Linked DNA regions of Danio rerio. The protein of the gene in region 3 binds, or shares a complex with, the protein of the main gene of each other region. Links are inferred from orthologs where the notes say so. Each region holds a gene or a part of one and is shown on either strand. Other genes may lie near its edges. The genes, in order: gtf2e2, polr2k, gtf2h5, gtf2a1 and gtf2f1.

What was found.
Region 1: gtf2h5 (region 3) and gtf2e2 share a complex: the UniProt entries of both Homo sapiens proteins name them as parts of the TBP-based Pol II pre-initiation complex. The link is inferred for Danio rerio from reciprocal best matches to the Homo sapiens genes GTF2H5 and GTF2E2.
Region 2: gtf2h5 (region 3) and polr2k share a complex: the UniProt entries of both Homo sapiens proteins name them as parts of the TBP-based Pol II pre-initiation complex. The link is inferred for Danio rerio from reciprocal best matches to the Homo sapiens genes GTF2H5 and POLR2K.
Region 4: gtf2h5 (region 3) and gtf2a1 share a complex: the UniProt entries of both Homo sapiens proteins name them as parts of the TBP-based Pol II pre-initiation complex. The link is inferred for Danio rerio from reciprocal best matches to the Homo sapiens genes GTF2H5 and GTF2A1.
Region 5: gtf2h5 (region 3) and gtf2f1 share a complex: the UniProt entries of both Homo sapiens proteins name them as parts of the TBP-based Pol II pre-initiation complex. The link is inferred for Danio rerio from reciprocal best matches to the Homo sapiens genes GTF2H5 and GTF2F1.

Annotation. Positions count from the first base shown.
Region 1 is NC_133176.1:24,433,554-24,437,785, forward strand, and holds the start of gtf2e2 (transcription initiation factor IIE subunit beta), read left to right. Parts: upstream 1-1,432; 5' UTR 1,433-1,573; intron 1,574-4,232. UniProt on the Homo sapiens protein: Recruits TFIIH to the initiation complex and stimulates the RNA polymerase II C-terminal domain kinase and DNA-dependent ATPase activities of TFIIH. Both TFIIH and TFIIE are required for promoter clearance by RNA polymerase.
Region 2 is NC_133194.1:13,081,112-13,085,173, reverse strand, and holds the start of polr2k (DNA-directed RNA polymerases I, II, and III subunit RPABC4), read right to left. Parts: upstream 2,806-4,062; 5' UTR 2,726-2,805; intron 2,462-2,725; 5' UTR 2,460-2,461; coding exon 2,399-2,459; intron 2,202-2,398; coding exon 2,109-2,201; intron 1-2,108. UniProt on the Homo sapiens protein: DNA-dependent RNA polymerase catalyzes the transcription of DNA into RNA using the four ribonucleoside triphosphates as substrates.
Region 3 is NC_133195.1:28,728,751-28,732,942, reverse strand, and holds gtf2h5 (general transcription factor IIH subunit 5), read left to right. Parts: upstream 1-1,383; 5' UTR 1,384-1,501; exon of another isoform or gene 1,502-1,527; intron 1,528-1,659; 5' UTR 1,660-1,724; coding exon 1,725-1,759; intron 1,760-3,337; coding exon 3,338-3,518; 3' UTR 3,519-3,923; downstream 3,924-4,192. Other genes in the region: protein SERAC1, read left to right, coding at 138-274. UniProt on the Homo sapiens protein: Component of the general transcription and DNA repair factor IIH (TFIIH) core complex, which is involved in general and transcription-coupled nucleotide excision repair (NER) of damaged DNA and, when complexed to CAK, in RNA transcription by RNA polymerase II.
Region 4 is NC_133195.1:17,666,251-17,669,763, reverse strand, and holds part of gtf2a1 (transcription initiation factor IIA subunit 1), read left to right. Parts: intron 1-143; coding exon 144-277; intron 278-2,800; coding exon 2,801-2,902; intron 2,903-3,252; coding exon 3,253-3,501; intron 3,502-3,513. UniProt on the Homo sapiens protein: TFIIA is a component of the transcription machinery of RNA polymerase II and plays an important role in transcriptional activation. TFIIA in a complex with TBP mediates transcriptional activity.
Region 5 is NC_133178.1:32,768,064-32,772,244, reverse strand, and holds the start of gtf2f1 (general transcription factor IIF subunit 1), read left to right. Parts: upstream 1-1,375; 5' UTR 1,376-1,685; coding exon 1,686-1,721; intron 1,722-4,181. UniProt on the Homo sapiens protein: TFIIF is a general transcription initiation factor that binds to RNA polymerase II and helps to recruit it to the initiation complex in collaboration with TFIIB. It promotes transcription elongation.

The DNA.
Region 1 (4,232 bases), on a different chromosome or scaffold from region 3:
CAAATTGATTTCCTCTGTAACAAATAATAGACTGTGAACCCAAAAGGGTCTATTAGATAAAAAATTATATGTATATATTATATTTATAATGGCTAATAATTCTGACTTTAACTAATATAAAATGAACCCGTGGATATATATCCATGCTTTTATGCTAAACAACCAAAATTGATGCAATGAACAAACTTTTTTATGTCAGTTAAACTACCTGGGAATTGAACCCATGACACTGGAATTGCTTAAAATAAGCTTGTTAGATAAATTTATTTGATTGATTTTCATATATTATATTAATACATTATACTTTTAAAGAAACCAAAAGTTAATGTTATACATTTATGCGCTTCTTGATATAATTACATATTCAATTTTAGTTTTTAAAGAGTTAAATTGTTGGAATGTGCTAGTTGCAGGAATAATGTGCTGACAAAAAGTTGAGTATATGATCAATTGAATTCTACCAAACAGATTGTTTTTTTTTTTTTTTTACAAGAATGAAAGACAATGATTCATCATCTGTTTGTATGCCTGTATAAAAACTGGCCCTGTAAGACTGCTCTCTGAGCAACCAGGATGGAACCTGTATTTCTTCTGTATTAGTCCCTTGCTGCAAGAACATCTAGGAAAATGAATCTTCCTGAGCCTTGTAATAATTTTTGACCCTGACAAGCTTGACTGTCATCGGAAATAATTTCCTTCTTACCTGGTTGGCTTGCTCAGTGAAGGACTCAGTCATTTTAACTGTAACATTGGCATTGGCTTCTTCATTGGCACTGAGATCAATAGAGGCAACCCACTGAAAACCACAAACACAAACATGTTCCTTATTGACATATTACAGGCCAGAAGAAATGCATGAATCGATATAGTTAATGAGAAACACATAACATTGTTTTGAGTAAATTAATTATTAATAGTACTACTAAAACACGTGAAGCGTGTCTGATGACACTGAAAGGGGGGGAAATAGTTATTTTCAATAATGTGTCTTGTCTTCTGGGTTTATACAACTTACCCAGTGTTTAGCTTTGAAATACTGCACACATGCCGAGCCCAGAGCTCCTTTTCCCCCGTAAACAATCACTTTCTGTGCATCTGTAGCTGCCATTCTGTCTTCACGAGCACGAGACCGTGTTATGCAAAGAAATCAGAACATGCGCCTCCTACTGGAAAAGATGAGAAGAGCACACATAATTGTATTAGGATGGGTTGCGTATGGGTATAAGCTTAAAATAGACTTACCTTTTTTTAAAAATAATGTTTTTCGAGATTAATGTTTGAAAATAATCCATTAATGCTAATAAATATAAATGGGAACATCGCAACACATGTAAAACGATTTCTGACCAGCAGGTGGCAAAGGTCGTCTTTGCAAACTGCGCGACTACAAACAAAGAAGAAGAACACTTGTCTTCCGGAGGAAATACATGTAGTTGTATAGCATAGCTAGCGTTCTATGACAAGCTTTTCATTTTGCTTTGTCAGTAAGCTGATTGCGTATGATAATTGGAAATAATATTTAACATTCCTCAAAACTCTTTCTCTCGGAGAGAGAAGGCAGTGACAGATTCAGGTAACGTAATGCTCACAGTTTCTTTCTTTGTGGATGTATTGCTTCATGTTTGATGTGTTTAGGATGTTTCCAGTTGATACCATTTGTGATTTTAGACGATTAGTTAAGTTTCTAGGTGTTAGATGTTCACTGTGCAGTTCACTATGGAAGTATTAGCTGTCAATAAGTAGGCTTATAAATCTCAGTATGTTAGACGAGGCTAAACCTCCAACTGACCTCATAGATCTCAACATGAGCAATGTGCTTTAATATCTAAGTTAAATATGAGGAATAAAATTAACATCTGTCTATATGTGTGTCTATAAATGAAACACCAAATGTCCTTAAAATCTTTGAAAAGTGTTACATTTATTAGTGGAGACTGAATTAATAGCAGCCCCTGTTATCTAAACATACATGGGGGGAAAACTGATCACATAATCATTTACTGTAATCTATAGAAGTTAATAATAGTAATGATTAAGAAATATAAGGAACATATCACGTGCTATAGAGGTAAAGTCGGTTTTTTATTCGCACATTCGGACTTCCTCCTTAATATAATTTCATAAAAGTACTATTTGCAAACTCTAAATAGCGAAATCATATTAGCAGCCAATGATTATCAAAGTACATGTTCACAGTCAAATAAACAGTGTTCAAGTTTTCAAATTACACTTGCAGTTTATTTCAGACTGAATATTCAAGGTGCCGTGGTAAACAATGTAGGGAGTGTGTCACAAATTGCCACTGAATGAATGTGTAAATATAAAACCAAGTTTACCTTAATATATATGCTGTGGCTATATAATATGTTCATTTAAAAGTTATTGTTTAATTGAGCACTCATTCGTGGTTTTGTTTTCTTAGGTTTCATCAGTGGTGGAAAGACTACTGAAAAAATATACTCAAGTAAAAGTATCATTACTTGACCAAAGAAATGTAGTGCAAGTAGAGTAAAAATATCTGTTGTAAATATTAAATATGAGTAAAAAGTAGTCCTTTTAAATGTCCTCAAGAGTAGTGAGTATTACGCTGTTAAAAGCTGATGTATTTACCGGTACATGTAATTTGTAAATGTGTGTGTGTGTGTGTGTGAGAAAACATAACATTCTGTAGTGCATTTAGTGACAGTTTAACCAGTTAAATTCCATGGAAAGTGGTTTTGTTTGAAAGTGTAGAAGCTATATTTTATGCACATATGCATCACTTTGGTTTTTATTCTACTGTAAAAAAGTTATTTACACTTAATATCATCTCAAAAACATAGCAAGAATCAGATGCTTTGTTTCTAGTGAAGACTTAGAGAAACTTGTTCATGCTTTTATCAGCAGCAGGGTGGATTACTGTAATGGACTCCTCACTGGTCTTCCTAAAAAGACAGTCAGACAGTTGCAGCTCATCCAGAACGCTGCAGCCAGAATTCTAACCAGAACCAGGAAATCAGAGCACATCACACCTGTCCTCAGGTCTCTACACTGGCTGCCAGTTACATTCAGAATAGAGTTTAAAGTATTATTACTGGTCTATAAATCACTAAATGGCCTAGGACCTAAATACATCACAGATATGCTCACTGAATACAAACCTAACAGATCACTCAGATCATTAGGATCATATAAACTAGAAGTTCCAAGAGTTCAGTCAAAGCAGGGTGAATCGGCTTTTAGCCACTATGCCCCTCGCTGCTGGAATCAGCTTCCAGAAATGATCAGATGTGCTCCAACATTAGGCACATTCAAATCAAGACTGAAAACACATCTGTTTAGCTGTGCCTTTACTGAATGAGCACTGTGCTGCGTCCGACAGATTGCACTGTCGGACACAGATCATGTTTTTCTCTTCTTCTTCATTCTTTTATATCACATTTTACCTGTTTTTATGTTTTTTAATCAGTTTTATTATTTGTTTTTATTTTTATTTTTATTTTACTTGTTTCTTTTATTCTTGTTTATGTAAAGCACTTTGAATTGCCATTGTGTATGAAATGTGCTATATAAATAAACTTGCCTTGCCTTAAACATTGGTTCAATTTCATATTTTTCACAAGATTCATATATGACACAGGTACAAGTTATAGCTCAAATTAAATCTCTTGTCCGTGCTCATGAGGTTATAGCGTTCTTTTTAGTGAATTATATTCACATCAAACAGTTTTCGAATAAATCGCGGTATTTCCATGGCCCAGAAGTGAAAACAATACATTCATGATCAATAAGCAGCTCCAGATAGCACAGACAGCGGTCATCTCTTACCTTATGCTTTTTAGGGCCTTTCTCCTCTGTTTTTGAGGTGATGTGCATAAGTAATCCTTTTATATGTCCGACGTGGTCCAAACACAGTGAATTATGTTTGATCAAACAGAAGAATAGAGAAATATGAATACAATGATCGATCCCTGTGGCTTGTATAGCACCTCTCATCAGTTGGAATACAATAACTTTTTCATAGATTATGGTAAAGAGAGACATTTTTCTTTTTTTCCATGATTACAGACATGTGCAGGAACCACCAAAATTAATTTACTGCAACCTAGACCACACAGAACCTAAAAGGTACACTTTCAAATTTGAGTTTATAAAAAAAATACAAAAAGCAAATTTTTTTTTTTTTTTAGGTGTTTATTATAACACAGAAAACATTTATTACAGTTATTTTAAACACTTTTAAAGTGTTTCCT
Region 2 (4,062 bases), on a different chromosome or scaffold from region 3:
GCATTTTATTTAGCAATATTTTTTACATTATGTTGGATTAATCGTTGTAATCATTTGGTATTTAAAGTGTGTTTTTATTTTATTAAGAATTTATTCATATTTCTACATCTTTACTAAAAACATTTGCTTTGAAGTTCTAAATGAAGTAAGAAATATGTTCACACATGAATGAGCGCATTTCTGAGTATATACTTTAAAATGTAAAGAACAAAAACAAATAGTGCTTGAGATGTGGTCAATATACTGAGGTTGGCGCCCTTTAATTTTCTCTAGGCCAGTTTCATTAGTTTGCCTTTTTTTAAAGGTCCTGTGAAACTCAAACTAAACTTTTTTTTAGATGTTAGTTTTAAGGATATCTATTAGCTAGTAGGGTTGGGTCGATGGACGAAGCCATCGTCGATAGACATATCGATGCTGAGCTGGCATCGCTAACCTCCACCCCACCGTAGCAGCAATCCGTTTGTGAAAAATACACACTTAGGCCCCGTTTACACTAAAGCCTGATTCATACTTCTGCGTCAGGTGACCGGCGTAACCCACGGCGCAGGCAACGCGCGTGGCTGTGCATTTATACTTCTGCGCGCTGTCTCTGTCGGTTTGCATTAACACTTCCGAAACGCTAGTTGGCAGTGAGGTGTAAATGTTCCTCTGTGTTGAGTTTCTTCGCTACTTTTTTGCATTTCCTGAACACTTCTGGGATGTACAAGTGGCTCAAACTCGCTCATTTTAAGGCAGGAACCGGCGGACGTGCAACAACTTTAACTATAAGGTAAACACAAAACAAAACTTTCCATCCGGAGCTCCATCACGGGACTCCACACTTGTAAACAATCGCTCGCGCGGCGTCGCGCCATTCGCGCAGCTCTCGGTCCCGCCCAGACTCGTCAGCGCTACCAAGCCGACCAATCACAGAGCTTGCGCTACGCGTTGTTGCGATGTGTAGTTACATTTTTTGAGAGGTGCACGTCAGTGACGGCGATGGCCACGGCGAAGGGCTATGCGTCAGCGCCGTAGCATACGCCGGTGTTTGACCCAGAAGTATAAATCAGCCTTAATACATCTTAGTTTTAAAATGGCATTTTAGAACAAAAGCGACCTACGTCCACACAGGCGTTTCATCTAGCATTTCTGAAAAGCCTTCCTTCCACTCGATATCGATGAAAATGCACACTGTTATGCCTGCAGTATACATTCGTATCAGAGCTTCAGACATTTTGGTCTTTTGAATCTATCAGGTAATGTGTCACAGCATCAGTACACTGCTTCGGTGTTTCGCTTTCATGCTTATACTTAGTAATTTTAGTGAAAACCTCAGATACAGTTGGTTGGTTGTGCACCTTTTTTTCCCAACCAAGTTTGTCAATGTCATTGTAAAGACACAGATCACTCTATTGGCCTATTCATGCCAGAGTCCAATGGAAAAAGTGATTGAAAGGTGGTAATTTGTGTGCAACTTTATTTATTTTTGATTTGGTTATGGGTAAAACAAAGACCTTGTGGGTCAGGTAGTTGAAACATGGGCTACAAATAATTAATCCGTTATGAATTAATAATTAATTCACTGACGCCTACAATAACGATGTTATCGTCCATTACTTTGTTTCACATTATACATCATATGATGGCAAATTGGTCAACATCGCCCAATCCTATTAGCTAGTGTGCTCCAAAACAGTGACACAATATGCATTTAGAAAATGTAAAACTAATAAACATCCAGAGCTTAAAATTACATCAAATATGTTTATTTGAAATTATTTTTCACATGTATGTGTATTTTCAAAATGTAGGAATATACGTGTTCCCCAGTTTGTACATAAGCTACCAGCAGCTGTGAGATTTCAGTTAATTTACTTTTATTATACATTAAACTACAAACTAGTGTACTTTTCTTGGCTATCAAGTAAAATAAAGAAGTATTGCAATAAGTTTTTTCTCCTTAACCTCTTACTAAGGCTAACTGTATTGTTGTATCCCTAGTTACTATATCATGACATATCTCATTATTAGCAAATGAGAGGATTATAGCGTGAAATTAATTTAATCAACTTTTTTTGTCGTATCAACCAGGCCTACCACAAAGCATTGGTTTAGTTGATAAAGGATACATCTTTTGGTCCTCTTTTTGTACATGATCCTGTAACCACACTCTCTGCATCTGATGGGGTCTCTGGCCTTGATCTCGTTTTCTGTGTGACACTCTGAAACAAACACACACACACACACACACACACACACAAAATTTCAAGCTCAAAAACAGACTAGATTGTGAACATCTTGATTGTTTAGCATTAAGAAAGAAATGACTGATTACAAAAATATAATCAATACATAAACCTTCTAATAGATCAATATACATATAGATTATAAACATAAATACAATCAAAAGAGCAATCACCTCCACAAATGTAGATCATTGGCTGTTGTTTGGGGGGCTGAATGTCTTTCTGAGAATCCATGGCTTAAAGCAAACACACAAACATGATTATATAGTCTAAATTGAATAAATTCATTAGAATATTACACATTATTTGACCTAAACCTATCGTAAGAGCACATTTAAGAGATGCTGCACTATGCACAAACACGTTCTTCCATTATAAACCCAACAAGACACGTAATTCATCATATTAAAATTGCAATAAAACCCCGCACATATCATTCATCCTGTCATTTATCAGTGTACAAACGAGTACGAAATGTAAACATTCAAAGCATTAGCTACCTTTCACGCGTGAGCTCTCTGTTTGCTTCGAAACGTTTTTCGTTCACGCATGCGCACAAGCGACATCACATCACAGTAACGAACAATGCTATTGGTTGGCAAGAATTGAACCAATCTCGTCATACGCCGCCAGGAGGGAGGACATTACCATTTTACGCAGAGACTTACAGGTTCATCTGGGACTTTTATTTTATTACTGCCAGCAATTTCAGATGGCGGAGAAAAACTTCGCGGCGACGTTTTTAAACATTCATTTAGTGACAGACGTACGTAACCATGAAGACGTATTATTTGTGTACTTTTTTGTTTAACGCTAATGGTTTATATTAATTCATGTGTAACGCTGTTATTAAACCTGTCCTGAAATTGTGAAACAGTCTAAACACATTTATTTACTAACAGAAATGTGTTATTATTAATGAATAATTATTATTTGATTTTTTGTATGAGTGAAATGTGTTTCGTACATTGTCACTTGATTTGTCGGTGTTGTTGACGGTCTCAGAGCAGGAAGTAACGTTAGTGAGTCGCAGCTGCAAAAACTGCCAGTAACGTTAAACGTTCAGCTCTCGGGTAAGTTTGCAAAACTTTACTGTCAGTATTATATACTATTATATGTTTTATAGGTATAACCAGATAGTCTGTACACTGTTAGTATTTATGTTTGTAATGTGTTTTTTTTTTACTGGCAGTCGTAATCCCGCCTCACCCTTTCAGTTTCTGTTTCTCGGCAATGTGTTTAATACATATCAACATTCCCATTTATAATGTGTTTATAACGAAGGTATATGTCAGAACAAGCTGATCCAGCCAATTGTCATTTATTCATATTAATAGAGTTACTAATTATTGATAGCTGTTTATCTTTTTGATATACTGAAATGTTTTGTTACTGTTTCAATAATACTGAAATACTGCTAATTCCTTAAATATTATTATGATTTTTTAAAACTAATGTTCATTTTTAGAGCAAAAGATAGATATACTTTGCATTTGAAGGTAATTCAAATCCACAGGACACATGTTGGCCATTAATAACTAAATCAAGTGTAAGCACAAGTAATTAAAACGGTTTATGAAATGTAATAACATATTTAAATTATTTAATATTCCATAGTTATCAACAGGTGTATGCATTGTAACTATTGAGGGCAGCAATATTCAGAAACTATCCCCAAAAGACATCTCAGAAAGATATTCATGTTTTGTTTTTATGTTGAATGTCTAGAATGATTGTATTGTAATCAAAATGGTTCCGTCAGTAACATTACAGTTATACAATAGATAATAAACAACAAATAAGACTTCCTATTAGCAGCGCTTTTGTACATTCTCAC
Region 3 (4,192 bases):
TACAAGTAAGTGTGTTGAAGCAGGTTTGGAACTAAACTGTGCAGAGCAGCTCGGGGAATTGAGTTCGACACCCCTGGTTTATAATGATTGTTAGTTTTAGGTACCTGGTATCACGGTTTCCTCTTTTGCTCTTTCAGATCTGGGTATTGGAGACCTCATCCAGGTGGACGTTGATCACCTCAACATCTGCAAGCCAGAAAAGAAGGACACGTTTCTTTATAAGCGTACTTTACAGTTTATTCAGGATGCTCTTGGGGGACGTAGAATTAAGTGAAAGTCTTTACAGTTTCAATTGCTTTCTTAAGGATTTAAGCATCACTTTTTAAAAGATAGTGTTATCTATGACTGCCATGAAGGAAGGAAGTTTTACAATTGCAACTGGAGCTTTTTGGACATCTAAACTGTAATGTCCTGTACATTTGAAATACCACTGACATTTCACTTGTATTGTTATTATTATTTATGCTTGCCATATGAATATGTATTATGGTAAAATCCTTGTTTAACTTTTAATGTTTTACCCCTTCAAAGCCTTGTACTGTATATCATTTCAGAGTAATTTGAATGAGCACTTGTTAGCATTTATTTTAACTAGACATAACAAAAAAAAGGATTATCAAACTTAGTATGTTTACTACATCACTGCACATTTTTAAACTCAGTTTTATTTATAATATTTATTCTACTTGAACAAAATAGACATGCTAATGAAACCTTGCCTTGTTTTTTTTGGTTCACCAGCTTTCTTTCTACTACCTCAGACACACAAGTACTGATGTTGCTGTAATTGCCAATACATTTGTACTAATTCACTGACCACAGTACTTTATTTTGCCAAATCTTTGTCATGTGAATAAAGTTTTGAATCCAAACTTTCCTCTCCAAGAATAAACACTTTCACTGTAAAGCAGGGCAACACCGTGGCTTGTCCTGGATGGGTAAGTTGCCATTTCTGTATGGAGTTTGCATGTCCTCCCCGTGTTGGCATTGGGTTTCCGGGTGCTCCGGTTTCCCCAACAGTCCAAACTGCAAAGACATGCTCTATAGGTGAATAGTATATGAGTGTGAATGGATGTTTCCCAGTTAGGTTGCAGCTGGAAGAGTATCCGCTGTGTAAAACATATGCTGGAGAAGTGGGCCCTGATGAATAGAGGTACTAAGCCGAAGGGAAATGAACGAATGCACAGTAGCGGTATTGTAATGCAAATGAGTACTCTAATCTCTATGACACACTATTGTAACCGTTAAATAAAAAGGGATTAGTATTCGCAATTCAAAACAGATATGTCCCAAATAATCAAAGTCTTCAGGATTGCGAGAAACTTCCAGGTGGGTGTTGTACTTTTCTGTCAGGGTATGAGAGCAGTCAAATAGGATCTGAACTGCGCTCCAAGCCAGCAGAGGGTAGTGGAGTTGACTGGTCCAATACTAGTCGGTGAGTAGAGGAAAACCATTGTTTCTAAACGCTAAATAGTTTTCTGACACCAGTCACTGCAACAAAGTAAAGTGGCAAAAGACAATAAGAATGTTAGTGTGTATGTTTTAACGCTGTCTTTAAAGTATAGGTTTAAGAGCTGTAAACAAAATGTAAAATATTTGTAAGGACTAACGTCATTCATGGTGGACGGCTTTGTTGCTATTTCGTTTTCTCTCATACAGAGCTTTTACTGTACCTTTACTGAAGCAGCAGTAAGTTACGTTAGTGTTAACACACCCCGTCCAAAATGGTCAACGTGTTGAAAGGAGTTCTCGTTGAATGGTAAGTTTTACATACCACTGCCATTTAAAGCTGCACTGGTCATTTTACCTCAATACAACATTTAAACGAGAATCCAACGGTGGGTTTATTTAAGAAATGTGTTAAATCTAATGTGCTTACACACAATGTGGATTCATATCCGATTAGTAGAAAATAGGGCTGCACAATATATCGTTTCAGCATCGATATCGCAATGTGATCACAATGTTGAGTCTGGATTATAATTAATCATTTTGCTATAATGATTCGTTTTATTGACTTGTTTATAAAAAACAAAGACTATGCAGTATTATTTTACATCTGATTATTTAATTCATGTGTACCTGAATACATTTAGACTCTTCAGAAAGCAATAAAATGCTGTTTATTTAATTAGCAATTTTTTCTTTATTGAATTCATCTATGCTTGTAGGTTGCTTGTTATATGTTATGAATCATCCCAATCCGTCTAAAATTATAAATTATTTACAAACCGTTTTTTAACTAATCTGGTGAAATTGTATTCATATTGCAGTGTATATCACGGAATAAAAATTATTGCAATGTATATTTTTTCCAATATTGTGCAGCCCTAGTAGAAAAGTACTTTTATTTTACATTTTTACGCCACTAAAGCAATGTTGCTGAACAACTGTTCACTAACGTAAACGTTACTTGCGAGAATATAATTACAGTCGACAGATGGTTAACATTTATTCACTGTTAAACGGCAAAAATCAGTTCAAAGCATTTGAAAAATGTGGAGAAAATATTAAAAAGTCTTTATTCACATGGCTAATCTTTAAAAAACCTACGCGTTTCGGAAAAGAACAGTTCTTTGTTTTATAAAGGCAAAAAACTGTAGTTTTTTTATGTGAATAAAGGCTTTTTAAAATTTTTTCCATATTTTTCGAGTGCTTTGGATGGATTTTTGCTGTTCATTTTGATGAATCCCTTACCCAAAGAGCACCGATTATATAAGCTACCCCTGAGCACGTTTTGTTAGATTTTGGATTTATTCACTGTTACCTGTAACTAAAAACTTTTTCTTTACCACGAGGCAACATCCTTAGCACGGTATCGGATCAGTTAAACTTTCAAATTGTGCAGTATTTGTGAACTTAATTCTGTTTATTGTCACAATTTCGATGGTTTACTTCCTGAGAAGCAACTGAAAATAATTGAGGTAAAGTTATTTTTTTATATTTGTTCATTTTAAAGCTCTCTATATCGTTTACCACGCTAATTTGAATATGGGGTCTGAAATTTAATTTAAGTATGACTTCAAAACAACATTAGCACGATTTAACTGACAGTGAACAATGTTGTACTTTGATAGTTATTGGCTGCTTATATGATTTTCCTATTTAGAATTTGTAAAGAATACTTTTCTGAAATTATATTATAAGGAGAAAATCTGAATATGCAGGATATAAAACCCACTTTACCTCAATCTGAAAAAAGCCAGATGTCAATAACATCAAATACAGGCTTGACAAACCTCTATTCTTAGTGCACCTTTAAAATAAAAGTCATGCTCTAGTAGTAGTGCACCTTCATATATAATTCTCTCTCTTTTTTTTTTTAAATGTGACCCAGTGATCCAGCTATGAAGCAGTTTCTACTATATCTGGATGAGACGTCAGCTTTGGGGAAGAAATTCATCATCCAGGATTTGGACGACACGCATGTTTTCATCTTAGCTGAAGTTGTGCAGATTCTCCAGGAGCGAGTAGGAGAACTGATGGACCAGAATTCATTTCCCATCACCCAGAAATAAACATCTGAACCTTGACAGCAAGACCCTTCAGTCTGTGGGAGCAGATGGATGTGGAGATTCTTTCAGCACAATTGCACAAACACAGATGAAGCTGAAATATAGAGACGATGACTGCCTACAGGGATGATGATGTGTATTCTCTTTGGTTTAGTTTGACTGCAAAGTTCTTTTATCTGAAAAAAGTATAACTTTAAACTGTTTATGTTTTTAAAGACATATGTTTAAAAGACAGAGGCTGTCCTGTGTTTTGAAAGTATTGTTTTACATGCAAGATGGCATTGCCTACAAATAGTTATGTTTTACTGAAAGTATATGTCATACTGAATGCAGACGGGTGATGTCTGTGATTTAACTTCATGCATAATATGCTTAGTGTCAAATAAACAGAAGAATTCAACTAAAGTATTTAATGTGTTCTTATTCATTTGTCTCCTCAAAACATAGGATTTAATTTGATCTACTCTGTGGTATTGCCAGTTTGTGTAGGTTTAGGTTCCCTTCCTGTTTATGTTCTACAACACCAATACAAGCCTTCAATATTTGATCCTGAAACTGGTAAAAAGATTTTACCTTGTGGTGAAGGGAAAATTAAAAGAGTGAACTGCATTCGATTTGAAAAATATCCAGCATGTCTTAAAGAGGAAGTAAAAGTGGTGTGATGCACTCATGGAAAT
Region 4 (3,513 bases), about 11 Mb from region 3:
TTTTCCATACTATAGAAGTCAATGAATAGAGGTCTTCAACATTCTGTCCAACATGCCTTCCTTTTCCTTCCATCTTTAACTGCATGTTAACACTATAAATACAGATTTGTCCTAACAAAAGCATGTGTCTGGTGGCTTTACAGGTCAGATCCTGCAGGTGGTCAGAGCTGCCAATGGAGCTCAGTACATCATTCAGCCTCAGCAGCAGATGCTTTTACAGCAGCAGGTTCTGCCGCAGATGCAGCCTGGGGGTGTTCAGGCCCCCGTCATACAGCAGGTCTGTGCTTTATTCTGCACAAACACTACACTCACTTTCTCATCAATCTTTGACTTGCTCAACACAGGCTCCTTGGAAATGAAAGTTTTATCCTTCATTTTTGAGAAACCACAAAAATGTCCTCAAACATCCGTTTGATCAAAAATTCTTGGTGACAAGATCACTACAGGGCAGTAAGACTGCAAAAACTTTACTTCCTTTTCACCCTAATGGTATTTATGGACCGATTGTCAGTGAATAAAGGATTACTTGTATGCATTTTTTGCACACACCAAATAAATACCACAAAGCCACTTAATGTCTATGATTTTAATAATCAAAAATGTTTGCCTCGCCTGTTTAACTATATGTATAAAACTTTTCTGGTGTGGTCAGTTTGCTTGGAAACTCACTTTGTACAGTAGTGTATGCAAGGAGTTCTGTAAAGCACTGTTTCACAAAAAAGATTAGAGCGATGTAAAATCAAGGCAAACGGCACTTATTCTTACATTTACTTTTGACAAATAAAGGATTAAAGCAATGTAAAATCAAGGTAAACATCTCTTATTGCTCTGCTTTTGACAAATAAAAGATTAAAACAATGTAAAATTAAGGTAAGCATCACTTATTGTTATTACACTTTTGACAAAAAAATATTAAAGCAATGCAAAATCAAGGTAACCAGCACTTATTTTTATTACACTTTTGTAAAAGAATAAAGCAATGTAAAATCAAGGTAAACATCACTTATTGCTCTACTTTTGACAAATAAAAGATTAAAGTAATATAAAATCAAGATAAATAGCACTTATTTTTTCACCTTTGACAAAGATTAAAGCAATGTAAAATCAAGGTAAACAGCACTTATTGTTATTACACATGACAAATAAAGATTAAAGCAATGCAAAATCAAGGTAAACAGCACTTATTTTTATTACACTTTTGACAGAATAAAGCAATGTAAAATCAAGGTAAAACAGCACTTGTTGTTCTTACATTTACTTTTGAAACTATTATCTAGGATTAGGGAGGAGTTTAGGTTAGTGTTATTTAAGAAAGATGTTTAACTGAAATGTACAACAAAACGGGCCCTAATTAATGTCTATCTGATTCCCCAAAGTGTAGACAGCGCCCTCTAGTGTATTTGTCATCTGAAACGTGCAATGAAATGTATGCAGAGCAACAACGTTTGTTTGGCAGGAATGTAGGCTAAGGCACATATTTCTAATGAGCCTGTGCTGTACTCACTTCTAGTTCAGTCACTGGAGGCTGCAGGGTTTACTGTGACAGCATGTGACCAGTGGGGTTTTGTTTCCCCGTGTCAGCAGTGGTCTTTAGCTAGCCAATGTTATATGCCTGTCAGCTCTCTTAGTCGGTTTGAAAAAGGAAATAACAGAAATAATAGTGAATGCTTCGCAGGAGGAGAACCGATGTAGAGAAGAGACAACTAGTCTTACTTTGTTTAATAAAGATCTGATACACTATTCACTATTGATACAACATTCTAATAAATTTTTTATAAATTCTAACAATAAACTGTTAGTTAATAAAAAGCAATGTTTTCTAGTCATTTTTAAATATTAATAAATAAATTAGGAATTTACTCATGACAACTATATTTACCTTCGACCCACTAGCCCAGAGGTGTCAAACTCAATTCCTGGAAGGCCGAAGCCCTGCACAGTTTAGTTCCAACCCTGTTACAACACGCTTACCTGTAGGTTTCAAACAAGCCTGAAGGACTCAATTAGTTTGATCAGGTGTGTTTAATTAGGGTTGGAACTAAACTGTGCAGAGCTGCGGCCCTTTTGGAACTGAGTTTGACACCTGTGCACTAGCCTCACTCAAATTAGCCTTTTTTGCCCTACATTAGAAAAAGGTTTGGGCACCCTTGCTTTAGACGATGACAATTAGTCAATAACAAATGCTTTTATTTGTTATGCTTGAAACTTGGGGGTTTTTCCACCAAATATGATAGCAAAATATGTTGTTTAAAAATGATTAATGTATATAACTTCTGAAAACACTGCATGTTTTATTTATTAGGGTGGGGTATGCAGTAAAGAACATTATTTTAAATCTGTACGAAATGCCATCAGTAGTTTAAAGAATTAAAAAAGAAATACTCCATATTTAAACAAAACTTAAAGCTATATTTTTACCAAAATGTAAATGATCAATTTATTCACCCTCTGCTTGTTCATGAGCTTCTTTCTTCTGTTAAAACACAAAAGAAGATATTTTGAAGAATGCTGAAAACCTGTAACCATCGACTTCAATAGAATGTTTTTCCTACTATGGAAGTCAGTTTTTCATCATTCTTCAAAATATCAGCCGAAACTCAAAGGTTTGGAACCACTTGTGTATTAGTAAATATTGAGCAAAGTTACATTTTTGAGTGAACTGTCCGTTTAAAGGCATAAATCAGAGAAACAAAGTATTTCAAGTGGTCTTTTAGTTTAAATGATTAGACTTGTTCTCCTACACCTCGGTTTATGAGAACAGGAGTGTATTAAGTGTCTCTCTCTCTGTGTATTGATGCAGGTGTTGACTCCTCTTCAAGGAGGTCTTCCTCAGCAAACCGGAGTCATCATCCAGCCGCAGCAGATCGTCCTCACGGGGAATAAAGTACCGCAGAACACTCAGGTCAGCACAAGCTCTCACCTTAAACTAAAATCTCTGTGATGTCTGTGAAATTGATGTCTCACAAATACATTTCATTGAACATGTACACAGGCATCACCTATATCCTATATAACTGCGGTTTAGATATATAATAATTAACAGGTTTATAATATAATAAGTTTCACTGTTAAAAGCTTTTAGTTACTAATCAATTAGTGATTAGTAACTTATAAGGTAACTAATAACCTTTATTTTTCTGACTGTAATGCAGTAATGTACACCTTTTGCGAAGCTGCTTTGAAAAAATATTATTGTGAATGTCGCTATACAAATCAACTTCAATTTGAATTGAATCGTGTGTGCTTGTTTAGGTCATGCAGGCGGCAGCGATGGCAGTGCAGTCGGGACCGGGAGATGCACAGGTGCAAACTCAACCACAAGCGCAGCAGCAACAACAACAACAGCAGCAGCAGGCCTCGCAACAACCTCCTATGATGCTCCAGGTAGACGGCGCAGGAGACACGTCCTCAGAGGAGGATGAAGAGGAGGAGGACGAGTATGATGAAGATGAGGATGAAGACAAGGAGAAAGACGGCGGAGAGGACGGCCAAGTGGAGGAGGTGTGAATAGCC
Region 5 (4,181 bases), on a different chromosome or scaffold from region 3:
AATAAAGTGAAGTAGTGTGGAGCTAAGCAGAGTTGTCCGGCTGATATTCATTTACAAATCTATACAAAACACCACACATGGGTGCCCCAATACTACAGGAGCACTCGGGGAGTCAATTAAGTATAAATTAATATCCTCACGGGGATTTCCAGAAATAATTAAACTTACAGAAGGAGTAGAATGGGTGATGGAGGTGATGGTAAGACCATTCAGGGAGCGGACAGTGATAGGAGAGGAATGAGGGATAGCAAGAATGCCCCAGGACTCATTGGTGGTGCTGTCTAAAAAGTTGCCCTCGGCTCTGGAGTCGATCATGGCAGAGCACGAATGGACGACATCTCCACATTGTAGAGAGGCTGGCAGTGAGGTATGATATGTGTGGGTGTCAGAGCAAGGGATTGTGCCCACCAGAATCCCCCATACTACTGGTGTCGGGGCTTTTAACGGGCACTGGACAGCCTGATGACCTGGTTTCCCACAGTACAGGCACAAGCCCCTAACCAACCAATGTCATTTCTCCTGTGCGGTTAGTTGCAGATGCCCCACCTGCATCGGCTCCTGATCAGGAATGGGTAGAGGAGTGTGGAGCAAGCTTGAAAAACCCTCCTCAGCCCTCCAGGAGGAATGGGTCGCCCGCCGATGTTGACGGCGAAGGAGGCGGCCCTCAACAAGAAGAGCAAGGTCAACCAGGGCGTCGAAGTCATGTGGGTGATCGTGGGTGGCGATTTTGTCCTGGATCTAATCATCCAGACCATCCCAAAACCTCGCTCGAAGAGCTGTTTCATTCCAAGCGCAGGCCGCTGCTAGGCTCCTGAATTGAACGGAGTAGTCGGTCACTGAACACCCGTTCTGGCTTAGCTGGGCCAAAAGAGAATCTGCCTCATCCCCCTGAGCTGACCGATCAAACAGCTTGGTCATTTCATCACGGAAGTCATCAAAAATGGCACAAAAGGGGGCCTGTGTATCCCACACAGCGGTGGCCCAGTCTCGAGCCCTGCCCTTAAGAAGGGTAATAACAAATGCCACTCTGGACTCCTCAGTGGCGTAACGGCGTGGCTAAAGAGCAAAGACCAGCGAACTCTGAGACAAGAAAGACAGACAGGAGCTGTGGTCCCCGTCAAATGGTGGTGGACAATTACCGTGCGGCTCATGATCCAGGTGGAGAGGAAAGGCTGCCTGCCTACCAGCTCTGATATTTAGCTGTAGGTCCTGGACTAGAGCATTGAGTGCCGCAACCTGAGCCGTCAGAAACTCAACTTCTTGAGAAGTGGCAGTTAATTGAGTTTGCCTGTTGTCCTCGAAGAATGCCCTGCTGGGTCACTGCGTTTCTCACTTGATCGAACTCATGGAAATGGCGAGTCTCCAGGCCTCGTGTGCAGAGAAGCAGGAAGCTGAGTAGATGCCGGTGGGCGGATGTCGGCAGGCGGTGGAGTCCGAGTGCCACAAACAATGACACCAATAGGAGTGAGCTAGCAAAACACGCAAGACTGTCTGACAAAGACAAGTAGGTAAGCGGGAATTAAATAGAGGAGAAAATCAAGGAGCTACAGGTGACAATAATTGCTAAATAAGGGAATAACTAGTATAACAAGGAGGCGGGGAAAAGGATATGCTGATAGCGGAGCACATGGTGAACTATCAAAACAAAGAGCATGTGAATGCTTCATGTGCATCCGTGAGGAAACATGAAGGCGACAAGCAAGACAACAAATCACAAACAGGTAGGTCTAGACACACTCTTCACGGTTACGGGCCCATTGTACAGTCAGTTATAGTGTGCATCCAGAGACCTTGCATCAATCAATCAATCAATCAATAAATCAATAAATCAATCAATCAATCTATCAATCAATCAATCAATCAATCAATCATTTCCTTGAATTTAATTGAATTATCCACTTCTGGAATATATCTTGCTGTCTGTTCACCCCAGGTAAAAGCCTATAGTTAGGATCAGGGTGTGTCCTGTAAGGTAGTGGTGGGTGGGACACAGGACACATTCTAAGTTGCCAAAAAAATGCAAAATAGTTTTAAAGTGCTTTTGCTTAACTATGGAATAAATTAAAACACGTGGCTGATTGGCCTTTGTGTCTATTCGCTTCCTAGCTAGGGTGAAACACTCTGGGTGGAACTGACCAGTTACAGACACTATAACAGTCTGTTATAGTGTGTCTCCGGTATCGCCTCATTACAGCTAACATGATCCCGCCTCTCATTGAGCGCGGTGTTTATATGGAGATGAACTGAGGTGAGCCAGGTAATATTTTACACACCGACAAGCTTCCTCATAGAGTTACTTACTTTTTCTGCGCTTTTGAGCGATGGCACGCTACACGAGTGAAGAAGCACTTTTGATGGTACTAGACAGCAACGAAGAATTTACGTTCTCCTCAGAAGAAGAGCATGACTCTGACGAATGCATACATTTTGAAGAACATATAGACCCAGTGGAGGATAGAATCCCTGTGGAGTAAGTCTTTTAATTCTTACCTTCATGATTTACATGAAACATGTCTTTACAGGCTACTTATAATTTTATTGCTGTACAAATTGTATCCTATAACATATATAGCATATAATGATAAACATAGGCCTATGTAAAAAAAATGTATGTTATATGAAATATGCTAAGCTTGTGAAAATACTGACAGTTATTTACAAAACAGGTGCTGTTTAGTTGATCATTCATATGTGGTAACGAGTTTATTAGGTAAATTAGTACTAGTATTAGTAAACATCACAAAGATGTTAACAATGTAGTTCATGTAATCAGCTTGCTTAATTTTTCTAGATGTGAAAACAACAGCGGTAAAGAACCAGTAACAAGGAAAGCTAAAGCAAATAAGCTGCCTACTCAGTCATTGAAAAACGAGACTGATGCTGCATGGCTCCACAGGCTCTGAGATTCCTTCCTGTACATGATCCTGGACCACAGCTAAGACCATGTGATGCTCTCACTGGCCATTTACAAACTTTACACCCTTTATTATCTTACACTTTATATTTACATTGTTGATTTTGCCCTGAATGTGTCTTCTGTACATAATGTTTCATGTGTAAAGTCAAGTGCATGACTTAAGTTATATATAAAGTGTATTTATAAGTAACTTTTTCAGTAGATTTGCTAAATGTAAGTTTACAGAGTTTTATACAAGGAACTGACTCTCACAAGTGTATCTCCAGTTATTCTGTGTGATTAATAAAAATATTTTAAATAAACTGCAAACAAAAATTGTTTTATAAACTTATTTTTTTCCACAGATTCTTTCTTGAAACTCTTTCCTCTTAGTCACATACCTGTCTGATGGCTTATTATGCAGCTCATTATGCAGGTCTTTGTCTTCTCAGGTGTAAATCACTGCCTTAGTAATGATAGTTCACTCCTTCTTACATAAACCATTTTCACTCAAAAAGTGACTTAGAAAATTTTATTCAATAAATTGTTGTCTGTGAGTAAATAAACAAAATGATTTTCACAAGATCCAATTCTCAGAAGTCTTGTAAACAAATGTTCTTTAAGTGTTTCACAGCCTTGTTTTGGTGAATTTAAAATTTTAGTTGTGCACTTTGGCCTTTTGAAATATATGGGACCTAGAGTTAGGATTAGGGTGTGTCCTGTAAGGTAGTGTTGGGTGGGACACAGGGCACATCCTAAGTTGCCAAAAACATTGCAAAATACATTTTTTAAGCGTTTTGCTTTACTATGAAATAAAGTAAAACCCGTGGCTGATTGGCCTTTATGTCTATTCGGTTCCTAGCTAGGGTGAAACACTTTGGGTGGAACTGACCAGTTACGGGCCCATTGCACAGTCTGTTACAGTGTGCATCCAGAGACCTTGCATCAATTAATCAATCAACTTTTCTTTATAGCACCTTATTACAAATATCCCCTGATGTCCTTACCTTAGCCATCTTCACCTTAAAGAATCCCCCATCCTCCCTGACTTCTTTCCTTCTTTCCTAGCTTAATTTAAGGGAGTTCTTGAGACGTATCTGAGCTCAGAATCCACTTTCTCTCCATTAAACAAGAGTTTCAAGGACCTTCAGGGCTACCCCCCAGGAGAGCATGCCAAACATGCATTTAACTTTTCAAACAATTCTTGAGTTTGGAAAAATTTTTAACACGCTTAAGATAGTAGGAATACAATCTAAATGAGTGTCAATAAATCAACAGAACAATA